Sus scrofa: one gene and its partners. The protein of the gene in region 1 purifies or fractionates together with the protein of each later gene. This does not show direct contact. Links are inferred from orthologs where the notes say so. Each region holds a gene or a part of one and is shown in the gene's direction. Other genes may lie near its edges. The genes, in order: FAF2, DERL2, UBAC2, DERL1 and SETDB1.

Region 1 (3,514 bases):
AGGAGCTGGCATTGCTGTGAGATGTGGTGTAGGTTGCAGATGCAGCTTGGATCTGATGTTGCTTTGGCTGTGGCATAGGCCCATGGCTCCAGCTCCAATTTGACCCCTAGCCTGGGAACCTCCATTTGCTGCAGGTGTGGCCCTAAAAAGGCAAAGAAAGATAAAAATAGAAATAAAGGCAACTGTCAAAACTAGAATGGGTCCTGAATAAAAATGTAATGTATATTATTATAATACTGTAATAATGTGCCACCCTGATTTTGAGGGTTGTATTATGAATGAGCTTGTCATGTCATGCACAAGTATTCTGGGGTGATGGGACATTCAGTTGGTAGCTCACTTAGAACTGGTTTCAAAATAAAAAATTTTGTGTCCCATACTTCCACCTTTTCTGTAACTTGATTATTTCTAACAAAAAATGTTTAGCTTTATATCAGAAGTTTTCAAAGAAGAAACAGGTCAGTTCAGATTAGGACTAGCATTGGGCTATGTAATAAATTTCTTAGAGCTGCCCTATGTATTTGCTCTGTGAAATGGATTGACTTTGAAATGGAATTTCAATGTGATGTAATGACTTCATGTCTCAGTCATCCTGGAAAGAGCTGGAATTTATTTGATTTCATGGTTGTGTGTCTGTCTTTTTCTCACTGCCTTTTTTTTGTATGACCTCTACAGGTAATCCACGACTTCTTATTCTCTTTGAAAGAAAGCCCTGAAAAGTTTCAGATTGAAGCCAATTTTCCCCGGAGGGTGCTGCCCTGCATTCCTTCAGAGGAGTGGCCCAACCCCCCCACACTGCAGGAGGCCGGACTCAGCCACACAGAAGTTCTCTTTGTTCAGGACCTAACAGATGAATGACACTTTTTTTCCTCTCCTCCTCTCCCACCCCAATCCCTAAAAGAAATGGAAAACAAAAAAAAAAAAAAAAAGAGAAATTCATATTATTATTATTATAATACAATATTTTTTTTAAAAGACTGCTGCATCCTAAGGAAGGATCAAAAACCATGCTGCCTGCAAGAGTCACCACCTGTGTGTGTGCATGAGGTTAGCAATGAACGTTCCTGCTGGCAAGCCCACCCTTCCCTACTGCCTCTGCACCACGCACCTTCCAACGAAAGGAGACTCTTCACCTCCAACCCAGCCATGTCTCAACTGGGGAAGGGGACATTCCCACTAGTTCTCATTCATTCTTGCTTTTATGGAATATAAAAGTGAAACAAACCTCCATCAACCAGCTACTGCAGCATCTCCCGAAGACTTGCTTCTCCCACCTCTGGAGAAGAGAGGGAAGAGAAGGCACAGAGCAGAGATGTTCCTTTTACTTCCAACAGCTTATGAATAACTTTTAAATTTTTTTCTGTTGCTCTGTAATGACCAAAGGAATGAGGCTGACATAGGTGTATTTTTTTTCCCTTAACATTATTTGATAAAGAGCCAATTCTTAAACCCATGAGTTCATGCCCTGGGCTCCTCCCCACCAGAGTGTAATAAAGGTGCCCTGGGCTGGTTTGTGCTTATTTATGCAATTGTTCCTCTCATGTTCCCAGAGAGGTGGTTCTTTTTGGTCCAACTCTTTCTGTCCTTTCTTTCCATCTATGCACCCCACTTGAAGCAGTGGGAGGAAATCTGGGTTTGTACCCCTGCAAAACCTGTATGTACAGATACACCCATATATGTGGTGTGAAGTCCATGTAGACTCACCTGTACACACAACTGCAGCTTTTCTTTGGAATCTGTACCAGGTGATCATTATGGGGTCTGATCCAAGGGTTAGCAGCTCTTCCTCTTCTGACACATGAATGCTGTTCCTGCCCAGCCCTGAGCTTTCCTGAATCGCCAAGCCTGGTGCCTTTCCAGAGGACTAGCAGGGCCTGTAGTGGAACCACTAGAACCACGTAAGAGTGCCCTGCCTCATTGGGAGTGTGGTGGTGGTGTATTTTAAGGACAAAGAAACTGAGGCCTTGAAGGGAGCCAAGACAGAACTCAGCCTCTTTAAACTGTTGAAGGGCACACTGCAGTTTTTGATGTTGCCACCTGCTGGAGGCAGTTTTTATCCTCTCTATTGCTATGTTGAAGTAATAGGGGTTTTAACCTCCGAATGTCTGTGGTTGACTTTATGGTAATGGGTACATGGGTCAGGCCATGTATCAACAGATGCCAGCGTGAGCTGGCAAGTATTCCAAAGTGTTGTGTAGCTAGACTGGTGCAGACTCATAATACTGCAACCTACTGAAATTAGTGCAGTTCCCTAGGATGCTATGAGGCCAGGGGTTCATATCAAGATAAAGTATAACTTGTTAGATTTGCAGTCTCCAAAGGCTTTCTCTTGCTTAGCTAAAACCTAAGGACCATTCATTGAGGTAGCGGTGATGTGGCTACTATATTCTTTGGCCTTCCGTGGTGGGGTAAAGACCAAGGGGCAGGTTGAAGAGCCTCATGGATATCACCCGGGGAGCCTGAGAATGTCTCAGTGGCCTTGGCACAGGCGTCTACAGCACCATCTCCAGGAAAATTTTGATTCTGCTCCTGGCTGCTTATTACTCTTCCACTGTTTCCTGATGTCACAGGCCAGCCCAGATGAGTGGGAAATAAGTGACTGTTGTCACATCCGGAGTGAATACCAGGATAAACCATGTTCTCCAATCCACCTTGTGTGAAGCCTGCTTCCTGCTGACAACCATGCAGAGAGGAATTCTTAATTGAAAGCCTCCCTCCGTGTCTGGAATTCATAGCTGTTTCCCTGGCAGTACACCGGGGGTATTAAAGACCTTCGCTAGGCTGAGTGTACTGAGTATCTTGCCCACATCTCTGCGAAGTTGTAAATTTTTTTTCTGAAATAATTCCACATTCATCTTATTCTACAATGTGCACTTTATGCCTCCTGCCTTTTGATAACTTGTCCAGTAAAGGAGATGAGCCGCCAGAATGTTTAGAAAAAGTCTGTTCATGTCAGTACAGCTCTTGGGATGGCCTGTCCATTTACTTAAGGTTTCAAGAGGCACCACATGAAGCTCATGCTCCTTCTAGTCCATGTTGAAACAGCCCTGCTTTATTCAGACCCAGTTCCTGTCTCCTTGCAGACCTAGAGCTGCTGCTTAGGTGCCATCTCCTTTCCTCCCCGATAGATGCACATTTTGTCAATGCCAGTACAATCTGTATGTTACTCCCAAGGACCTCTGGGAACTTGATGGGACCTGCAAGTGAGAAAATATTGAGAAGCCCATGATCTGTAAGCATTTGCTCTTGTTTCCAAATCACCACCGGGTTATTTCAGCTGTTTCCAAATGGCAGGTCATCAGCTAAACAAAAACACTTGTTTTCAATTTTGTCCTGCACTCCCAAGACTGAAGTAGATTTGGCTGAATTTCCATAGGAAATGACCAAGAAAAGACATCCAATTGGAGTCAGTTGAATTTCCTCAGCCTCAGTGGGGCCACTTCTGGTCTTTTCCACTTCTGCAGAATTTCCTGCAGCAAATACTTGTTTCTCCTTGTTTGCCTCCACTATGATG
Region 2 (3,514 bases), on another chromosome or scaffold:
TTCCACCATTGTGAGGAGTATTAGAGTATTCTGTCTTGTTGGGACTTGGCTCTTTGTTCAGACTAGAACTTGAGTATTTGCTTTAGAATTCCTCTTTACTCGGGATGTTTCTGATGGCTAACATAAAAGCATTTCTTAGCAATTGATGTTAGATCCTGCAGCTTTTCTCTGGTATCTTGAGACTACTCATTAAACTGTGATACTGCATACATGAAAGCACTGTTTCCTGTTCTGCAAGTTAACCTAGTCTTTCCATCAAACTCTTTCCATAATTTGTCTTGACCTTATGGTATGGTTTAAAAAAAAAAAAAATTAGGAGTTCCCCTTGTGACTCAGTGGAAACGAATCTGACTAGCATCAGTGAGGATGCTGGTTCGATCCCTGGCCTCACTCAATAAGTTAAGGATCCAGTGTGGCCATGAGCTGTGGTGTAGGTCACAGACACAGCTGGGATCTGATGTTGCTGTGGCTGTGGCGTAGGTCAGCAGCTATAGCTCCAGTTCGACCCCTAGCCTGGGAGCCTCCATATGCTGCAGGTAGCCCTAAAAAGCAAAAAAATAAAAAATAAAATTAAAAATCACAATTTTAAGTTTTCTGTCCTTTTATCCTTTGAAATATCCGAGGGGGTGGTAAAATCCTTCAGATTTTACCTAGAAGCAGCATAAAAATCCACTGTTAGATTGTTCACCTCACTTTTGAGTTCAGAACATAGTATCAGCTACCCATGGCCTTTCAACCATTGTAGTCCTTAGGATGTTTCTGTGTCTTGATATGGAAATGTTTCGTAGTATATTTTACTTATTCTTTCTCTTGACTTTTTTTTCTCTTAACAGATATGGAGGCTAATCACCAATTTTTTATTTTTTGGGCCAGTTGGATTCAATTTTTTATTTAATATGATTTTTCTGTATCCTTTTCTAAGTGGGCTTAGCATAAAAACTTTAGGTTTACTTAGGAAATACAATATTAATTTGAAGCTATAACCCTGTTAATTTTGTTACCATCTTAGTTATAACTTCCTGGGGGTACTGGCTCAGTGATCCACAGAATAATTGGCCAGATAGTAATGTTTTGAGGGTGTTTGTAGGTCACTATTTATTCAAGTGGGAGGTATTTAACCATAAAACATTTACGTTTCTGCCCATAAGCCACTTGCAAATCTGATCAGGGGAGAGCAGAAGTGATTTGAGCCGTACTTAAAAAGTAACACCAGCAGGTACCAAGTGATAAAACACAGCCTGGGAATGGGTTCATGGGGGATGGAGAACATGAGATCTCCTTGGATCTCGGTTGCTGGTTCTACTGGCTGAAAAGGCAGTGTCTGTTGGGCTCGCCATGTTCCAGTTTGTTGCAAGAAGGGAAGAGTTGTGCTCTGGTCAGATGTGATTGGGGCCGCTGAGCAGTGCATTTCTCCTGTACCCTGACCCTCCAGATTAAGAGGGGAGTTGGAGCTCAGCTCATTGGCAGTAGACAGAGGGCCTTGTAGGGTGACAGGCTTCCTGGCCTAGGATGGATTCCTGTGTCTTCTCTATGGTATATCGTTCTGGTAAGTTTCTTATTAAATGTTTTCATTGTCATGCCACCTTATTGACTGAGGTATGGAAATGCTTATCCACTTGGCCTGAAAAAGGGGATTATTACATGAGCCTCCTTGATGGGCATTTCCTCCCAGTTAGGTTGTGGAAAAGCAAGGATGCTGTGGATTATGCTATGGCTGAACATGGGAAGGACAGTACAGCCATGAGAAGGTGTCGTAGGTCATGGGAAGCATGTCTCTGTGGTGCCTGGCTCAGGTCCCCAACCAGGAAGAGTTTCTATAAAATAAGGAGGTAGTCTCCTCTTCACCGTGCCTAAAGCGCCCGGCCAAAGAGAAGGAGCCGTACCACCACTCATGAAGATTCTTACAGACAACGCGGAGTCCAAGTGCATTTGAGGGATCCCTTAAATTTTACTTTCTTCCTATTTGTGTGCTTAAACATTTTCTTAACTTGGAACTTAAGGTATCGGTACTGTCGAATGCTAGAAGAAGGCTCTTTCCGAGGTCGGACAGCAGACTTTGTATTTATGTTCCTTTTTGGTGGATTCTTAATGACTGTATCCTTCAACAAATAGAACAAATGCAGGAAAAGATTAAAGAATACCCTCTCTCTTCCTAGAGCTTTTCATCTGTCTCCCGGAACTCACTAGATACTCGGAATGAAGAGATAAAAGTAGACACCCCAGAGTTTAGCTTCAGGCTCCTACCGTTTATTTTGCAGCACACTTTATGTGACAGCTTTCTAAGCCTAGAGGTTGGACAGGGAAACTTTTCTACTGTGAGCAAGTCAGAGAACATTTAACCCAGGTGGGTTACTCTTAAGTATCTTAGATGTATTCTGGTCAATGGGTGTACATCATTTATTTTTAAACTCGAGTTGGTCAGACATTTATGTGGTCATTCATCAAAACAGGTAAATTATTTTTTAAAAAAAAAAAAAAGAATTATCATCTAAGCACGAGACTTGACTGTAGCACTACCTGACAAGATGGTTTTGCTCCAGCTGGCTTTATTCAGCTCTGGAAAGGTCCTCGTGGTGAAAGTATTACTGACCAAGGAATTAACACATGTTCCAAAGAGGCAAGGGCTTCATGAAGGCAGACACTTAATTTGAAGTAGCAACAGTCCCAGTGATGTGACCTAAACAGGTTTTTGCCTGACGGCTCTGGGTAATTACTTTCGGGCTTTTTTTTCTCTCCTAAATTTGTAACCACTGCTCGCCTTTCCCAATTCAGACTTCTGTTAGAACACAATCCTTAGTTCTCTTGCCCAGTCTTCCCTATTATCCTTTTAATATTGCTGTTTTCCTTAATGCCAACTGCTAGCTTTTTGGTTTGTTTGTGAGCTTAGTGTTCTTGGGCCAGGCCTTTACAATCATGCTTGTCTACGTGTGGAGCCGAAGGAACCCATATGTCCGCATGAACTTCTTCGGCCTTCTCAATTTCCAGGCCCCCTTTCTACCCTGGGTGCTCATGGGCTTTTCCTTGTTGTTGGGGAACTCAATCATTGTGGACCTCTTGGGTAAGAGTCTTAGCACTACTTTTCCTATTATTTATTTGGCAAATGTATTATGTCACTATTTTTCATGTTTATTCTGTCTGGCCTTCCTACATAGCCATTATAGGATTATTTGCTAGTTATAATCAAGACTATAATATTTGTTTTCAAACTTTTAATAAGTATATTGACATTTCTTCCTAAATAGAGGCTATTTATGTTCGTAGAGCCACCTGCAATCGAACTTCTAATCCTCTCCATCATCCTTTATTTCTGGTTGACCGTAGGTATTGCAGTTGGACACATATATTTTTTCTTGGAAGATGTATTTCCCAATCAGCCTGGCGGAATACGAATTCTGAAAACACCATCTATTCTGTGAGTAGTTAACACCAGGTCACGTGTTCCTTAACAGATTAAACCGGGGCAGGGTCCATGATATGTTTTCTCGGGGCTCCCACAGCTGCTGGCACACATAGT
Region 3 (4,127 bases), on another chromosome or scaffold:
CGGCCTACGCCAGAGCCACAGCAACGCAGGATCCGAGCCGCGTCTGCAACCTACACCACAGCTCATGGCAACGCCGGATCCTTAACTCACTGAGCAAGGGCAGGGATCGAACCCGCAACCTCATGGTTCCTAGTCGGATTCGTTAACCACTGCGCCACGACGGGAACTCCGAGTTTTTTTTTTTTTTATTAAAGTACAGTTGATTTATAATGTGTCAACATTTGCTGTACAGCAAAGTGACTCGGTCATTCATATATATATATATTTTTCTGATATCTTACATTATGTTCTATCACAAGAGATTGGATATAGTTCCCTGTGCTATGCAGCAGAACCTCATTCCTTATGTATTCTAAATTTAATAGTCTGCATTTACTAACCTCAAACTCCCAGTCCACCCCACTCCCTCCCCTCCCCCTTGGGACAACCACAGGTCTGTTCTCCATGTCTGTTTGAGTTTATTTCTGTTCTGTAGATAGGTTCATTTGCCATGCATAGTTTTGTGACATCATGTACTGGTCACCTGGAAAATACTGGTTAAGTTAATCAATCTTTCCAATTGTACAGAGGGAAGGAAACTCTTCTGTATACTCCTGAGTGATTTAAGAGTAAATGGCAAACAATGTCTTTGTACCACTGTAAAGATACCTTTAGCCTTTTGTACTGCTTAAGTGGAGGGATGGTGGTTCCCACACCTACCATGAGAACCACTCAGGAGGTCCTATGCTGGCTACCGCCAAGGGCTTTCTGCAAACATGATACCCTGAAAGTATCATTTTTATGGCAAAATAAGTCAACTAGATGAATCTCAAGCTAAATATAATATGTATTTCAAAAGTGTGAACAAACTTTACAAATAAAGCCTAAAGAAAAGTCACTTTACACAGTATAAATGGTAATATTTTGGCCCACTGGCACCTCTCCTTAAGGGCAGGAACTGTGTTCTATTGATCTGCAAAGTTCACATTTAGCCCAGTGCCTGGCCCATACAAGCAGTCAAATACTACCTTTTTTTTTGAAGAGTATACTGTACATAATTTTGTAGCCTATCCTTTTCGTTCAGCCTCGTAGTTGGTCAATTCCACCGTATGTATTTCTTAAAGACTGCACAACATTAAAGTTTCCAAGCTCAAACTCACTTAAAAAACTGTAACTTTGCTTTAGCAGGGAGTAAAACTTTTGCAAGGGAAAACAATTTAAACAGCATGGGTCCAGAAGGGCTCCAGGGCAGAGATGTGGGGAGCACCGTTGCTCCGTCACAGACGCACTGCGCCTGGGACACCTGGACACCGGCCACCGCGGCGGAGAGGAATGAGGGTCCAGGGGCCACGACCCTCAGCACTTTTTTGGGGATTTCGCGCGGAACCGACATGGGGAACACGGAGGGGCAGCAGGACAGCCCTACTCTCAGCGACCGGGAAGGCCTCCCAGCTCTGCTCCCCTTGCGTCCGCAGAGCTGCCTCTCGCACTTCGCTGGACACCGGAACTCGAGACAAGCTGTCAGCAGTCGGCAGGGGAGCGAGCGCAGGAGCCGGCACGGGAGGACTGAGCATGCGTGGTGCGCGCCGGGCGTCCCGTCCGGCGAGAGGTTAGAGGTCGCCGCCGGGGATGCGCCCGCACCGGCATTCCAGGGGAACCCGCTGCTTTCGCGGCTCCGAGGGGCTTGGGGACAGCGCTAAGCACTAGTGTGAGGCTCCCAGGAGTTACACTTGTTCCTGCCAAACCATCCTACTCCTTTTCCAAGGCTCCCGCGGCCGTCGGAAAAAGCCAGAGAAGCGGCCCCTCTCGCCGCGGATGCACTTCCCTTCCCCGGCAGGAAGGGAGGCGGCTAAGGAGTTGCGCATGCGCTGTTCGCGGGCGGCCCCTGGAGTGGAGTGGCGTTGCCGGATTCACCGCCCCGCCGGGAGTGCGCCTGCGCGGTCGCCGGGCTCCCTCCGCCTCCGCTTCCCCTCCCCCTGTCCCCCGCGGGGGCTCTGGGTCCGGCGGGACCATGTTCACCAGCACCGGCTCCAGTGGGCTCTGTGAGTACCGGCCGCCGCCATCCTGGCTGGCTCCTCCACGCCACCTTGGGCAGCTCCTTGAGGAGACTGGTGGCTGCGGGGACTCTCGGGGCTGCAGGAGGTTTGGGGGCCGATCTTCCATCCCCTTGCCAGAACCTTGGTAGTTCCTGTCTGTGGCGGGGCAGCGGACACCGCCCCCACCTCGGCCTGGAGGGGCGAGTGGGAGTGAGTCCCGCCCCCAGCCCCCCCACCTGTGAGCCCCAGGTGCGATGCTCAGGTGTTCCCGGGGTGCTGCAGGTGGGCCAGGCGGTTAGGGTCGGGCTGGGTTGTTCTGGTGTTCTCCTGGCCCTGCCCCTTGCCCTCAGCGGCGCGCCTGCCAGGTAGAAAGTAGAGGCTGTCCGAGTGGAGGTGGTGTTGGAACCTCGCCCCCTTCCCCATCACCTTGTTCCATTCATTTAGGCTGCAGAGGGACCAAGCTGGCTTTTCCCCAAACGATGCAAATTACAGCCTCTGCTTCTGGAGCTGACCCTTTAGATTTACTTTGATTTTTTTTTACGCCCCCCGTCTCCCTTAGGAGTTTTTAGATAAACAAAAACTAATTAAAGTACTTCAAAGTGGGAGCAAGTTTGGAAGTAGTTTGGCAGGAAAGCAGGAACATTTCTGCTGGATGTTGTTTTTTTTGGATTGTCAGTGTGGTCAGAAGATAGAGAGCGAAGAAGTATATATAGCTTTTTAAAGAACTTTCTTTTTCTTGCTGAAGTGGCTTCATTGACTTTTGGTAAGGTGCCATGTATGCTAACTAAACAGTGCCGAGATTAGGCATGCAACAACTGCAGTGAACTCTTCGAACAGCTATAGTTTTTGCAGTTTGTGTCATTGTTGGTACTTCATGTCTCTGTACGTTTGAAGTCAATCTTGCGGAGGCAGTAGATACTTCCAGGTATTAACGAACTGTTGTGAATGTTAGGAATCTTTTCCTGAAAATACCTGTCTTAGTTTGGGAGTGAGTATCAGGGCCACGGGCATAATTTTGCATCTCTCTCCCTTCTCAGCTTTTTATGTTTTGAAGCGGGCTTAGTATTTGTGATTTCCTGGGTTTCATAATTAATTTGATTTATGGCAGCTTTCAAGCGTTGGCCTCAGAGTACGTTACAACTACTAGGTAATTAATCTTCCCCAAACTGCCCTTTGGGTAAAGAACATTATGACTGTTGAAATTGATAGTCAAGAAGGTGGGGTGTGATTTTCCTGGAATCATAACGTGAGCTGTGCATTGTGAATATGAAATGAACGGTAGTTTTCAGTTGTATTTGCTTTCTTTAATCATTTGGAAGTATCCTTCCTTGCTGACCAAAACACCTTAAAAATTTAATTGGCAAGCAAAGTCTGTTATTGGTTACTATTCTGTATGAGCCATGATTTTGACAAAGGTTATGCAAATTTGATACAGGGTGACTCTGGGGAAGGTAATGCTTGATTACCTGTGGCACATGGTTGATGAGTATTGAATTCTAGGAGCCAAACTGATGCTTAGGGAGAGGCCAAGGCCAAAGGCTCCTCCTCAGCTGTCTTGCCCTGTTTTGAAATAAATGTATCTGCAGCGTAAGAACTGATAGAATGGCCATTCCTCGGAAGGCCATGTCTTATATGCTCACTCAACAAACATTTTGAACCTCTGTTGTGGGCTGCACACTGCTGGGTGCTCAGATGGCCACACTGGACAAGCCTTGATGCCAGTGTTTACAGTGTATACAGTGGTGTTGAGGCACCATTTTCCCACGTCTCGTGGCAAGTCTGGGTGAGAAATTTTTCTTTGCAAGGCTACCCACTGAGAGGGAAGCGAGTTCCTTTTGATGATAAGTCGTGTGGCCCTTTGGGAAGTCAGAGTTCTGATCCTGAGTGAGTGTCCTGAGGATGAATAATCTGCCAAGCACAGCCCCTCGGGATGCTGAGTAACATTGTCTTTTCGAGGGAAGAGTCCTGGCCATTTCCTACCACCTGTGCATTTCTCCCATCTGTGACTGCGGGATGGTGGTGCTTTCCTCGTACACTTGCTTCGCCCCCATTCATTTAGTTACTCCGCAGTTGGCGTCTGTTGAGCCCCCACAGAAGCGCACACTGTTCGTG
Region 4 (3,514 bases), on another chromosome or scaffold:
CCATGAAGGGTCCAGTCACGGTCGCCTGAACGGCGCCCTCTGTGTCCCTGTGGGAGCGTGAGGTGTGGGCACATGTGCAGGGTGCCAGCTCCAGAGCCAGGCCGCCTGGCCTCGAATCCCGACTGTCACTTTAGAAGACCTTTGCTCAGTCTTGCCTCAGTTTTCACCTCTGTGAGATGGGGTGATCGCAGTGGCTGCCTCACAGGGCGGACGAGGAGATGAGATGAGCCGATAAACCTGAAGCGCCTTGTGTAAGGGAAACGCTGTGACAAGGGTGAGCTCGGCAGGCCTCTTGCTGTGGGCAGGTCACACCTCGCGCCTGCCTGCTCTCGGTGCCATGAGGAGTTTAAACAGTGGTCCCAGCTCACGGTCTTTGCTTTCAAACCAAAACATTTAGACATGAGCATCTGATAAGTGGAATGGGTTAAAATACATTCTCAGTTGACTAATCGTTAAGGAAGGGAAATAGCTGGAAAAACTTTTGAGAATGTGGAGGTCCAGGCTTACATTTTCTTAGCTGTTCCGTGACTGCATTTATTAATTTGAAAGATGGGAAATCAGCTAACCTTTCCGGGCCTCAGCCTTCCCACCATCTACAGGTGGGAAGAATGCAGGGGGAGGGCAGACTGAGTAGACTTAACACGCCCAAACTCCAAGGCACAAAGCCACCTTCTCCATTGTCCCTTGACGGGGGCTGAAGACCCCAGACGCATCACAGAGATGCCACGCAGGGCTTATGCACACCGGCTGCAAGTTTATCCTTTGGAACTGAATTTTGTATCCTTTGAGCCAGTTCAATCCGTATTTGTATAAACCAAAATGCCTTGTAGATGGTTCTTTCTGGATATTGGGCTTGTGGGTGTAATATTTTTGTTTCCATACTGTCTGCATGAATTGCTTTTATAATCAGAAAAAAAAATTTTTTTTAGAGTGACATTAGCCTGAAAGCTCAATCAATTAAAACAAAACAAAACAAAAACCACCTCAAGAGTGGGTGCCTTTTGTGGCCAGGCCCTTGCGCTAAGTGCTGAATGGGCAAAGTTTAATAAGACGGTGTCCTCAGCCTCTCCCGCAGCCTCAGACGAATGTAATTTGATGTGGCAGATGCTGCGGGAACAGCAGTGGGACGGATGACCACGTGGAAGTGACGGTGTGGCCTTCTCTCTTGTTTCTCGCCCTTTGTGCTCCAGGTACCGCTGGCTGCCCAGCAGGAGAGGAGGGGTGTCAGGGTTTGGCGTGCCCCCTGCTAGCATGCGGCGAGCCGCCGATCAGAACGGCGGCGGCGGGAGACACAACTGGGGACAGGGCTTTCGCCTCGGGGACCAGTGAAGGAGTGGCCTCTGGCCCGCCCACCAGCCTCTCCGCTCCGATGAAGTCTCCCAGTGCTGGGTGACCTTACCCACCGAGTTCTAGCCGATGCTGTTGGACCCAACCCACACTGAATGTAGTCTTTCAGTCCAAGACAGCAGTTTTTTTAAATCCTGAAGAAAAAAAATATAAGTGTTCCTCACGTTCCATGATTCTCATTCAAGTCCTTACTGCTGAGAAGAACAAATATCAGCTGTGCAAATTTCAGAACTGCCCGTGTTCTTTTGGTGTCTTCTCTCCCTTTTCCATCTGCATAGTGGGTTTCGGCAGGTCCCGCCCTGCTGGCACCAAGCTGGGCACCGGGGGTCGGGTCACCAGCCCCTCATCAAAGGGACTCTTACCTCTTTCTCGCACACACGCCTCCCCCCCTCCTCCCCAGCCCCACATTTGCAGCTAGAGGAGGTCGCCCACAAAGCCGTTCTGCCTCTGACATGCTCTGTGTATTGACTTCTGCCAACGCTTGGCTGACAAAGACCTTGCTCCACCGTTTTCCAGGGGCTGAGCTCTCGCCGTGGGGGACAAGGCGCAGCAGCGGATGGAGAGCTCTCCCAGCTTTTGGAATGGCCGTGACCTGGTGTCAGTTGCCCCCATCTGTCACGTCTTCAGCTGTTTGATAAAAACAGCCAAAAGCACCACTGAGTCAGTGAGGACCTCAGATTGCTATGAATGAGACGTGAGGGTGGTTGCTAGGCGTTTTTTTTTTTTTTTTTTTAATCCAAAGTAAGCAAAACTCTGGTGGAGTTGGATCTGACACGGGGGCTGGGTTTAAACTGCGGTGGGCACAGTCCCTTTGCATCTCACGTAGGGCACACTGGCTCTGTGTGTACCTAGAGGAGTGGGTTTGTACTGTGCTAGAAAGTTCCAAATCACATTGGCCCCAGGGATTACCTCTCTTTGCGAGGCTCCTGGGCGTTAATTCTACTTCCTTCTCTTTCTGGATATATGTTTATCGAGTAGAGCGAAGGTGAGAACCATAAACCTTATTTAAGTTGTCAATTTTATTTTATTTTTCAAACTGACACCCCCAAGCCCCTACCCCCCACCCCTGGTAGCCATGTGCTTCGGTTAATTGTGAGGAGGGTGCAGCCCCTGTGTACGTAGGTCTTATTTTAGGAGCTGTTATATGCACATCTAAGTGGAATACAAAATTTGGGGTGGTAATGGCTTTAGAGACATCTGTGTTTGAGTGTGCGAGGGTCTTTTTTAATTTTGCTTCATGAAGAATCATCAGACCAGCTTCAACATCCGCTACTCTTTTTTCATAGGTAAGCTTTTCCCATCAGAGCTAGGCTTGTCACCAAATAGTGTTTTTGAAGGCTACGATGTTTCACAGTTTCTTATTTTATATTTTTATTCTGCAAGCAGACTGCTAGGAGCAGGGTTGAGTGACTGCCATACTTTGAATCAACTGAAAAAAAAAAGGCTTTGAACATTCTGATCAGTGGCTCTTTGCAAGAAACACTGTGTGCGGACAGTGTGACTCCGGGCCTCGCTCTGACGCAGCGATGTGTGTTGTACTAGGAAATGGGGGTCTGAAAACAGCGCCTCATTTTTAATGAAGTGTGTGTGTGTGTGTGTGTGTACCTCCTCATACTTAATTTATATGATAAAATAGGCGGGGAGCATCTGAACCCTAACTGTCATATGTTCTGCTGTTGACCTGTGGCCACAATAAAATTTACTTATGAAATTTTAGAAGCCCTTCATCCTGTTATGTTGCACTCGACTCACCATGAGGAGTGGAAGCAGAAGACTCCCACGGTAAGTGAGCCAGAGTCTCTCATATGCTGTCTTAGCAGCTCAACTGCCTCAGAGCAGTAGTCTTTCTCAAGGCTACCGGCAGTCCTTAGAATTCTTCAGTTCAAGGCCAAAGTTCATTTAAGTTCTTCCTCTTAAACACATTCAGGAAGCTGATACTTTTATTACTTTTGTCTGGATAACCAATCCTTTGGGAAGAATTTTAGCTAAGCAAGCTATCTGAGATGTGACTTGGCTAGGCAAGTTGTGATGGGGGCTTCTCTTTAGGAATGAAAAAAAATCCTAATTTTGTATGGAGAAATTCCCTTTTTTGTAACCCATCCTTTTTATTGGTAAAAAATTGTAAATTAAAATGTGCAACTTGATGGTTGTCTGTCTTAAGTTTCCA
Region 5 (4,237 bases), on another chromosome or scaffold:
TTCCACCCCCAGCCCACCCACACACACATCAGAAAACTAAGAGAATTTAACTAACAGAAAAATAATCAGGGCAGAGCAAAGATTTCCTTCAATCATTAGATATAACGGGGCACCATATGTCAGATGCTAGGGGAAACAAAGATGATTAAGACAGGACCTTAGCCTTGAGTTGATCACAAACCAGCAGAGAAAACACACATAGATAACTCACAAGTGGAAAGGAACTAAGATAAAAGAACCACAGAGGGAGGAGTTAACTCTGTAGGGAAAGAGTGATGGTCTAGAAAAGTGATTCTTTTGGGGTTTTTTTAGGGCTGCACCCATGGCATAGAGAAGTTCCCCGGCTAGGGGTTCAACTGGAGCTACAGCTGCCAGCTTCCACCACAGCCACAGCAGCGCCAGATCTGAGCCACATTTGTGACCTGCACCACAACTCACAAAGCCAGATACCTAACCCACTGAGCGAGGCCAGGGATCAAACCCACTTCCTCATGGATACTAGTCGGGTTCATTACTGCTGAGCCATGTCGGGAACTCCAACACTGATTTTTTTATTTTATTTTATTTTATTTGTCTTTTTGTCTTTTCCAGGGCCACACCGGCAACATATGGATGTCCCCAGGCTAGGGGTCTAATCAGGGCTGTAGCTGCTGTCCTACACCAGAGCCACAGCAATGCTAGATCCAAGCTGCGTCTGAGACCTACACCACAGCTCACCACAATGTGGGATCCTTAACCCACTGAGTGGGGCCAGGGATCAAACCCGAAGTTTCATGGTTCTTAGTTGGATTCGTTAACCACTGAGCCACTACGGGAACTCCCCAGGTTTATATATTTTTTTAATGAAGTTAGGTGCAGTTAGTGTAAAGATAGCTGGGCAGATTAAAGCAATGACGAGATTCCGTGGTAGTCAACAGTGCTGATTCATCAAATACATCTGGTTCTCCCTCCCTGGAGTGAATGTTCTTCCTGGCCCCTCTGTGTTTGGGTAGGGCCTTATGACTCATTTCCAACCAATGAGTTGTAAATTAAAGTGCCCAGAGTCACTTTAATTGCCAGCGCGAGACCCTCTAGCGTTCTCTCATTATGGCAGGGCAACTCATCCGCCTGGGTTTCTAAGTAGCTCCACAGCGACCCCAGCTGCCCCAGCTGGATTCCTAACCCAGGATTCTTAACACATTGAGCCTCAGGGGGAACTCCATTTTAATGTTTATTGCTGAGTGATTTGTAGTGGCTAAAAACTGAAAACTAGATTTCAAAATATGGGTTATTATGTCATATTATGAAATATTGTGCAACTGCCAAAAAGACAACTTTTCATCCTTTTTGGCTCTTGGCAATACTGCCACCACTTGGAGTGGTGGAAGAGGCGGAGCTTCTGCAATGCACCCCAGGCCACGCCTACTTTAGCCAGACTCTTCTCACGTGTGCTCCGGGAGGCTCCGCTTTGACGCATGCGTATTAGGCGGCGTTTCTCACCCTTTTAGGGGCGCCCTGCCTCTTTGAATTTGACCCCGTCAGGCTACCGTCGTGGCGACCGGAACAGCGCCTCAGGTTTGCTTCCGGCGTCTTTTTTTTTTTTTTTTTTTTTTTCTTCCCCTTCCCTCCCTCACGCTTCTTCCCCTCCCCCTGCTCCCTTTTCCCTTCGGTTTCGTTCTTTCCTACCGAGGCCGACCCCTGAATCGTGGGGTCTGGTCGGTGAGAAAGAGCCATCGTAGCTGGAAGCAGGGAGGTGTGGGAAACACTGTTAATTGAGGTATTTGGAGACCAAGGGCTTATCTCGAATGGTTTGTTTGTGGTGGGAGGTCGGGTGAGGATGGGTAGGAAGTCTTCCCTGAGAGACTATCGGGGGCGGGGTTGAGCTGGGTTCGCGGGTGGGTGGGACGCACCCCTAAAATGAGTAACACGGGGGTGGGGCGGCGTGTGGGCAAAAGAAAAATGGAGACGGTGAAAATTGGCACTGGGGTCGCGCGGCATTCTGGCGTCAGTTTTGTTTGAACCGTTTGATCAGGAAAGCAGTTAACACCAAAGTGTGGGGGCGTTTGAATTGACGATTTGAGGCAGCCACATTTTTTATTCCCAAATTGTTTTATTTCTTTTCACTTTGGGGAAACCTCTTTGCTGCAAGCTTTTGTCTGCTTAAGTATTACAGACTTTTTAAAAATGTAAATTGCCATGTGAAAGCAAAGTAATGTAGGGGGAAAAGTAATTAAAAAGAAATTATTGAGTTACAGACCAAATCCTCTGCTCCAGGTGGGGATATTTACTCAGGTTAGTCATGGTGTGCAAACAGGGATATATCAAATTAGTTAATTAAAGAACACAGGTCACAGAAATCTCTTCGATATGTTGATTCTCTTCAGTTTCCTAAAACATTTTAGATAGCTCCCTGTTGCGTAATATGTGTTCTCCACGCCCTCTCAAACTTTTTCGTTTTATTCAGGTCTGTAGTCTAGCCTGCAAGAGGTGAGAACTGCAAAATCTCAGCTTCAGACACTGGAGAATGGGGAGAAAGAACATGGAATCAAACCTACCTATATATATTTGAGTAACAAATAGCAGAGTAGAAATGAGTTTTGTTAGGTCACTGAAATTCTGTATTGTCGTTATAGTAATTTTAGTTTCCTGCTCTCTATATAGAGGACAACAGTATGTCCTCCCTCCCTGGGTGCATTGGTTTGGATGCAGCAGCAGCTGCAATGGAGTCTGAAGAAATTGCAGAGCTGCAACAGGCAGTCGTTGAGGAACTGGGTATCTCTATGGAAGAACTTCGACAGTTCATTGATGAAGAATTGGAAAAGATGGACTGTGTACAGCAGCGCAAGAAGCAACTAGCAGAGTTGGAGACTTGGGTAATACAGAAGGAATCCGAGGTGGCCCATGTTGACCAGCTCTTTGATGATGCATCCAAGTAAGGACCTTTTGAGAAATAGAAGGAAATCTGTCCATAATTATTGATGACATTGTGCACTTTATACTTCAGAAGGTACAGATGTGTAAAACCTTACCCTTCCCCAAAGGTTAGGGGCCAAAATCTGACCTCATACCACCCATATAATGTTTATCTATCAGAGGCTAATATATGATTAGCAATAGAGGAGTCCAAGTCTTTTTTTTTTTTTTTTTAGAAGTCCAAGTCTTAAGTCCATTTCCCTTCTTTATCCTTCACTCTACATCAGAACAATTAATTGTTTTGATTTTGTAGTAGGATCATCTAGGAGTGCACTTGGTAAAGACCTGCTGTTTCATGTAACTGTGAAGTATTAATAAGTTCCTAGAGCCCTGTTTCTACTCCTAAATCCCCAGAAAATTTTATTTCTGGTGCTCTAATTGTCACTTAAAACACATATTTAAACAACAAGAAGGTAAATGATGAAGTAAGGTTGAAAGGACCATGCTTTGGGCGTATTTTGGATTTTTGAAAAACTTCCCTGAAAACCACTATTTAAACATTTTTCTGTGGGGAAAGCATTTTATGTTCAGAAATGAGACATGGAGTTCCTGTTGTGGCTCAGCTATCTGACTAGTATCCATGAGGATGTGGGTTCAATCCCTGGCCCAGCTCAGTGGGTTAAGGATCTGGCATTGCCGTGAGCTGTTGTGTAGGTCACAGACACAGCTCAGATCCGGCATTGCTTTGGCTGTGATGTAGGCCAGCAGCTGCAGCTCCAATTAGACCCCTAGCCTAGGAATTTCAGTATGCCTCGGGTGCGGCCCTAAAATAAAAAATAAAAAAAAGAGGAGTTCCTGTCGTGGCGCAGCAGAAATGTATCCATCTAGGAACCATGAGGTTGCGAGTTTGATCCTTGGCTTTGCTCAGTGGGTTAAAGATCCGGCGCTGCCGTGAGCTGTGGTGTAGGTTGCAAATGCAGCTCAGATCTGGTGTTGCTGTGTCTGTGGTGTAGGCTGGCAGCTGTAGCTCAAATTAGACCCCAGCCTGGGAACCTCCATGTGCCGCAGGTGCGGCCCTAAAAAGACAAAAGACAAAAAAGAAAGAAAAGAAACTGAGACTCTTTGGAATATGGCCAGTTTAAATTGAGGTCAGTATATAGTTAAATATATTTAGCCGTTCCCTTGTGGTGCAGTAGAATAAGATTCCAGCATTGTCACTGCTGTGGCTGGGGTCGCTGCTGTGGCACGAACTCAATCCCTGGCCCAGGAACTTCCACATGCCTTGGGCACAGCCCAAAAATAATAATAATATATACATATATATATTCTAGTGGCTCTTACACCT

Evidence for each region.
Region 2: the proteins of FAF2 (region 1) and DERL2 purify together in Homo sapiens (affinity purification with mass spectrometry; 5 studies listed by BioGRID and IntAct, counting the BioPlex papers as one, with this or other methods). This does not show direct contact. The link is inferred for Sus scrofa from reciprocal best matches to the Homo sapiens genes FAF2 and DERL2.
Region 3: the proteins of FAF2 (region 1) and UBAC2 purify together in Homo sapiens (affinity purification with western blotting; 7 studies listed by BioGRID and IntAct, with this or other methods). This does not show direct contact. The link is inferred for Sus scrofa from reciprocal best matches to the Homo sapiens genes FAF2 and UBAC2.
Region 4: the proteins of FAF2 (region 1) and DERL1 purify together in Homo sapiens (affinity purification with western blotting; 4 studies listed by BioGRID and IntAct, with this or other methods). This does not show direct contact. The link is inferred for Sus scrofa from reciprocal best matches to the Homo sapiens genes FAF2 and DERL1.
Region 5: the proteins of FAF2 (region 1) and SETDB1 purify together in Homo sapiens (affinity purification with mass spectrometry; 3 studies listed by BioGRID and IntAct, counting the BioPlex papers as one, with this or other methods). This does not show direct contact. The link is inferred for Sus scrofa from reciprocal best matches to the Homo sapiens genes FAF2 and SETDB1.

Annotation. Positions count from the first base shown.
Region 1 is NC_010444.4:81,402,261-81,405,774, reverse strand, and holds part of FAF2 (FAS-associated factor 2), read left to right. Parts: intron 1-675; coding exon 676-858; 3' UTR 859-3,514. UniProt on the Homo sapiens protein: Plays an important role in endoplasmic reticulum-associated degradation (ERAD) that mediates ubiquitin-dependent degradation of misfolded endoplasmic reticulum proteins.
Region 2 is NC_010454.4:51,511,132-51,514,645, forward strand, and holds part of DERL2 (derlin-2), read left to right. Parts: intron 1-833; coding exon 834-907; intron 908-2,000; coding exon 2,001-2,094; intron 2,095-2,862; coding exon 2,863-3,058; intron 3,059-3,321; coding exon 3,322-3,412; intron 3,413-3,514.
Region 3 is NC_010453.5:68,143,508-68,147,634, forward strand, and holds the start of UBAC2 (ubiquitin-associated domain-containing protein 2), read left to right. Parts: upstream 1-1,327; 5' UTR 1,328-1,990; coding exon 1,991-2,021; intron 2,022-4,127. UniProt on the Homo sapiens protein: Restricts trafficking of FAF2 from the endoplasmic reticulum to lipid droplets.
Region 4 is NC_010446.5:16,337,915-16,341,428, forward strand, and holds the end of DERL1 (derlin-1), read left to right. Parts: intron 1-1,190; coding exon 1,191-1,329; 3' UTR 1,330-3,491; downstream 3,492-3,514. UniProt on the Homo sapiens protein: Functional component of endoplasmic reticulum-associated degradation (ERAD) for misfolded lumenal proteins. Forms homotetramers which encircle a large channel traversing the endoplasmic reticulum (ER) membrane.
Region 5 is NC_010446.5:98,290,431-98,294,667, reverse strand, and holds the start of SETDB1 (histone-lysine N-methyltransferase SETDB1), read left to right. Parts: upstream 1-1,429; 5' UTR 1,430-1,554; exon of another isoform or gene 1,555-1,756; intron 1,757-2,640; 5' UTR 2,641-2,651; coding exon 2,652-2,911; intron 2,912-4,237. UniProt on the Homo sapiens protein: Histone methyltransferase that specifically trimethylates 'Lys-9' of histone H3. H3 'Lys-9' trimethylation represents a specific tag for epigenetic transcriptional repression by recruiting HP1 (CBX1, CBX3 and/or CBX5) proteins to methylated histones.